Linked DNA regions of Nothobranchius furzeri. The protein of the gene in region 1 purifies or fractionates together with the protein of each later gene. This does not show direct contact. Links are inferred from orthologs where the notes say so. Each region holds a gene or a part of one and is shown in the gene's direction. Other genes may lie near its edges.

Evidence for each region.
Region 2: the proteins of dr1 (region 1) and kat2b purify together in Homo sapiens (affinity purification with mass spectrometry; 3 studies listed by BioGRID and IntAct, with this or other methods). This does not show direct contact. The link is inferred for Nothobranchius furzeri from reciprocal best matches to the Homo sapiens genes DR1 and KAT2B.

What each region holds. Positions count from the first base shown.
Region 1 is NC_091756.1:58,161,545-58,164,474, reverse strand, and holds the end of dr1 (protein Dr1), read left to right. Parts: intron 1-1,200; coding exon 1,201-1,347; 3' UTR 1,348-2,272; downstream 2,273-2,930. UniProt on the Homo sapiens protein: The association of the DR1/DRAP1 heterodimer with TBP results in a functional repression of both activated and basal transcription of class II genes.
Region 2 is NC_091759.1:19,563,084-19,565,676, forward strand, and holds the end of kat2b (histone acetyltransferase KAT2B), read left to right. Parts: coding exon 1-9; intron 10-95; coding exon 96-126; intron 127-208; coding exon 209-272; intron 273-346; coding exon 347-431; intron 432-932; coding exon 933-1,147; 3' UTR 1,148-1,181; intron 1,182-1,858; 3' UTR 1,859-1,958; downstream 1,959-2,593. UniProt on the Homo sapiens protein: Functions as a histone acetyltransferase (HAT) to promote transcriptional activation. Has significant histone acetyltransferase activity with core histones (H3 and H4), and also with nucleosome core particles.

The sequences.
Region 1 (2,930 bases):
TAGCATCGATTTATATCTGGGTATTGATTTTTTTGACAACTCTACTGCCTTCTCCAGGTCAGGGATGAGGTCCTGCCCCAAGTGGAGGAGTTTGAGTATCTTGGGGTCTTGTTCACGAGTGAGGGAAACATGGAGCGAGATCGACTGGTGGATTGGTGCTGCATCCGCAGTGATGCGGGCGCTATACCAGTCTGTTGTGGTGAAGATAGAGCTGAGCTGGAAGGCAAAGCTCTCAGTTTACCAATTGATCTATGTTCCTACCCTCACCTATGGTCACAAGCTTTGGTTAGTGACCAAAAGAATGAGATCGCGAATACAAGCAGCCAAAATGAGTTTTCTCCGCAGAGTGGCTGGACTGTCCCTTAGAGATAGGGTGAGAAGCTCGGTCATTCGGGAGGGGCTCGGCGTAGATCCTCTGCTCATCCACGTTGAGAGAAGCAGTTGAGTTGGTTCGGGTATCTGGTTAGGGTGCCTCCTGGCTGCCTCCCTGGTCAGGTTTTCCAGGCACATCCAACTGGGAGGAGACCCAGAGGAAGACCCAGGGCACGCTGGAGGGACTATGTCTCTCAGCTGGCCAGGGAACGCCTTGGGATTCCCCTGGAGGAGCTGGGGAGAAGGAAGTCTGGGCCTCTCTGCTTAGGCTGCTGCCCCCGCAACCCGAATCCAGATAAGCGGCTGAAAATAGATGGATAGATGGAAAATTATTGCTTTTCCTGATTTGTTTTTCTGTATAAAGAAAAAAAAAATCCTAACTAAAAGCTGAAATATAGGCCTGCACGATATTGATCAATATTGCTGTTTCACTGCGCCTAATATTATCTCAAAGGATTTTAATAAGTTGCTGACACTAACTTTTGACTATCAGAGGTTTCCACTCCCATAATGGCCCTCGATCAGCACACCATGTTCTGTATGAATCTTTATGAATGAACATGGAGTTTCTGTTGCTGCTGTTCATTCATTTATTTTTACTAAATCTGACCAGTAACTAAACTTAAACATTCTGCAAATTTACACCTTTACCTAAGCTTTGCTTTAAAGTAAACACTGAAATGTGGTTTCATTTTAGTTATAAAATGTTCTAACTGATCGTTATGTCATGTAAAACATCTCTTTGATGGCTTTACGTATGCACAGTCCTCAGGAAAAATAAAAAGCTCTTCTTGCTTCTCTCTGGTTCTGTGGGCCGCGTGGCTGCAGGCCCGGCAACAACAGGCAGAACTCGCCCAGCAGGAGTGGTTGCAGGTGCAGCAGGCTGCCCAGCAGGCACAGATGGCGGCCGCATCTGCCAGTGCAGCCCAGCAGGCTGGTTCCTCTCAGGATGAAGATGAGGAGGATGACCTGTGAACTCCGGATGTGGGTACATGTTCGGACTTTGTCCTGGGACACTGCTGGCACACGTATCTTCCAGCGTTCTCGTTGGCGGAGACGTCTTTGAGCGCTGAAAATAAGCACATTTGAAGAGAACAGTGAAAGAGGAATGGGCCCCATCCAGATCCTAGTTCCTGGAAACGATTTGGATTGAATGGCTGAGTTTTGTGTTAACCTTATGTTCCCCATATAAGTTACTTATGTGAAATGAGCTCTTTGATGTTCTGTTGTGATTGGATTTGTAGTTGTGAACACACTGAGAGCAGATACTGGGACGCGTCAGCGACTCAAGCGTCAAGTCTCTGCTCCTTCAGGTACATCACAGACGCCCAGTCCTCAGTCGGTGGTTTAGATGAACTCGTTTCTCTTTATTTGATTATTGGTGGTCACTTTTACAGGAAAGATTTTGTTTTCTCCCTTAGCATTTTTGTTCAGACAGTGAATTTGTTTGAGGCATTGTGAATATTGAATTTGTTTCGTTATGTAGAGAAATAAATAGACCTTTTTTTTTTATTTTAGCTTGTTCTGATATTTGTCATTTTGTTCTTCCTTAGAACCGCCCACAGTATTGGTAATTAGCTGCAAAGTTGAGCAAATTAAACTTTTATCTCATAGAACCAAAGATGGAGGACAGACTTACTGCTCAGACTTTGTTTTTAAAAGTGTAGGTGCTACCGTGATACTTACTGCTGACTCCAGATCAGTGTAAATGATGTGAGGAACCTTGTGAGATGCTTTTGTGTTCAGGCTGAAATGATTTCCATTTTCCTCTGGAGCAGTATCTAAATATCTTTATTGTGACTTTGGTCAGCCCTCAGCGTTAAAAAAAAACAAGTTGTGAAACAGTCATTTGTTATTCTACAAAGTTGTATTCTTTAAGCAATAAAGAAGTGTTTTTATAGGTCAGTGTTCCATGTTTGCTTTAAATACTCATAATAAATACTTTATTGTTTACATAGCTGAATGTGCTAACAGCACAATCACACAAAAATGATCAATGGAAATCAAATTTATCAACCCAAGAAGGTCACACTCAAAAGTAAAGTTGATACACACTACAGGCAAATCCACCTTTGATATAATGTAAATGCCCTGTATTTGATATAGTGCCTTCTAGAATAGTGATGGGAATTCCAGCTCTTTTTAGAGAGCCGGTTCTTTTGGCTCAGCTCACCAAAAAGAGCCGGCTCCCAAGTGGCTCCTCAGATTTTCTGTTGCGTAGAGTACATTTATAACCAAAATAATGCTAAACTATATGTAAAATAATTTACTAATGTAAAAAAAGCAATATATCAATTGTTTATAATTTCTATGGATTTAATAACTGAACACTTTAAGAAATCTCCACTTTCCGACTGCTGGCGCTCATTTTCTCACCGTCTTCGTCGCACTCTCCTCTCTCTCGCTCGCCTTTTCCCTCCTCCTCATTCCCTCTCGTCTACCTCCACCCGCATGTGCTCTGCTGTGTGTCTGAGTCTGATCCTCCCTCTTCCCCGCCCCTACTGCTCTGTGTGTGGACGGTCTGGACACACAGTTCCACATGTTGACCAATCGCCTGT
Region 2 (2,593 bases), on another chromosome or scaffold:
CTGGCATACGTACGTAACCCTCCGCAGAACCCAGGACAGAATAACTATTTGTCTACGTTTAGGTTGAATGTAACTTCATTTGATTGTATTTACAGGTGAGACGGGCTGGAAACCAGCAGGAAAAGGGTGAGAGAAGATTCCATTAGAAGCATTTATGTGTTTATTCATATCCTTGATTTAACTCAAACCGAGTTGTTTTTTCTTGTAGGAAGGAATTGAAGGATCCGGACCAGCTGTACAGCACTCTAAAAAACATCCTCCAGCATGTGAAGGTAACGGAACAGACCTTTCGTCAGCTGCTGTGTCTGAAATAAACACTCACAAACTCACACAAGCTTTATTTTAGAGTCACCAGAACGCCTGGCCTTTCATGGAGCCTGTGAAGAAAACAGAGGCACCTGGTTACTACCAGGTCATTCGCTTTCCCATGGGTAAGTACCGGATGGAGACGATAAGCCAAACTTCTTAAAAACAGCAATACAAGTTAGTATGTATTCAGACCTTTACTCTTGTGATCTCGATTTATGACCAGAGGGTCTACAGCTCTAAAGACAATCTTATCAGATAATCCTGCCGTGTGTTGTGTAATAAGTGTGCTCTGGTTTGTTTGGATGCACGTCAGGTCTAGGGTTGTCACGGTGTGAAAATTTAACCTCACGGTTATTGTGACCAAAATTATCACGGTTTTCGGTATTATCGCGGTATTTTTTAAAACGTGTTACATTTTCAGACAACTACATAAACCCTGTATATCAGGAAAATATTGTCCTCAGTTTGTGTCTAAATTTTGCCTAAAATTTGTTATTTTGTAATTATGTTGTTTATTTGTTTACATTTTTCCCCTTTAGTCTTTAAAATACTAATATTTGCCCATAACTTCTTATTTTTTGTCTGGTTGATGTCCAATGGCGGTTTTAAACGGGGGCCCACAGGGGCATGGGCCCTTGTAGAACCGGCCCTGGCCCCTGTGCTGAAGAGATCGGAATTTTTTTTTTCCGCGCCACCTCGGAGACGGGAACTAATGCGCTGCAGCGTTTCACACGGAGCCTTTAAAGCGCAGCACACTCTGTGGACAGAACTGTTTACCCGGTGGATTTTTGAATACAAGATTAAAAATAGTTTAAATGGGACCCGAAGAAGTTCTTGAGCACGACTAACGGAAAAGACGCTAAGAGACGAAGGTAAGCAATACAGTTTATTTTCCTGACATCAGTGTTTTGATCTAGTCGCGCGTTTCTGTCATTTACTTTTAAGTTCCTAACTGAGTCTATCCACAGTTAACACTGATTAGTTTTTCCTTTGTAACATTAACTGTAAAATAAACATGAAGTTGCTGCATTTTAAGCCTTAGACACGTTGAGATTAGATCACAGTATTCATTTATCTATGACTTTCTCGCAGCACTGACTGGAAGCATCAGCGGCAATGAAAAGAAAAAGGGTCATTTTGTCCTTTTTTACCGCTGTTAATAAAGAACAGCGTAGACAGAGAGAGGATGAAAGTCACGAGGGAGCTGAGAAGCAGGATGAAAGAGAGAAGGAGGAGTTGGTTGGAGAGGAACCAGAGAGGTCAGACTGTCCACCCTGAGAGTGAGGAGGAGGAAGATGTAGGCTGTGAGGGAGAGAGTGAGGAGCAAAAAGAGGGACATCTTCTGTCATTTGCACTGTGTACACTACCGTCAGGTTTGTGGTGAACAACCCCTCTGTGTTTGCAGCTCATATTGTGTGTAAAATGCATTTGAGGCATGCTGACTCTGGACCAAAATTTATGTTGTTTATATTTAATAAATAGATAAAATAAGACTCTGAATTAACTTATTATGACTTTTATCCTCATGCTAACATTTATTTTCTTTCAGATATCAGCAAGTGCAAGGATGACCCACCTACTCAGCATCATTTGAGGACATTTCCAGTGACATTAATAGGAGACAGAAGATGCAGCTTTCAGCCAAGCTGGTATGAAAGTCATCCTTGGGTTGAATATTCTGTTACTATGGACTCTACCTATTGTCATGCATGCAGACATTTTAGCTCACCAAGTAGCGCAGGAAGTGTGTTTGACTCACCATGTGGATTTAGGAACTGGAAAAAAGCAACTGAGAGAGGAGGGGGTTTTCAGTACATGCAAAGTCTGAAAGGCATAAGGATTCAATGATAGTGTGGAGGGACTACCAGAGGGCTGTGAAAGCTAATACAACATTGGCTAATATACTCGACAAGGAACACAGTAAAAAGGTTAAAGAAAGTCGTGAGTATATCAAAACAATTGGTGAAGTGATTTTGCTTACGTGTGTGTGTGTGTGTGTGTGTGTGTGGACTACAAAAAGCAAATTGTATTGTGCAGATATTTTATTTGTTTGAATGTTTATTTTTCATATGTAGTTCATATAATCTTCAAATAAAGTCACAAACTATAATAATAAAACTAGAATTATTTTTTACTCAAGTCTCATGTTACTGTGAAGCATTCAGAATTGTTATCTGAGTACCATAAAAACATGTCAGTTTTACTTTCACAAGTAGACCATTACTACATTTGCCGTAATAGTTTACTTGTTCATTGTCTTTTTATTATGATTTTTTTTTCTTGT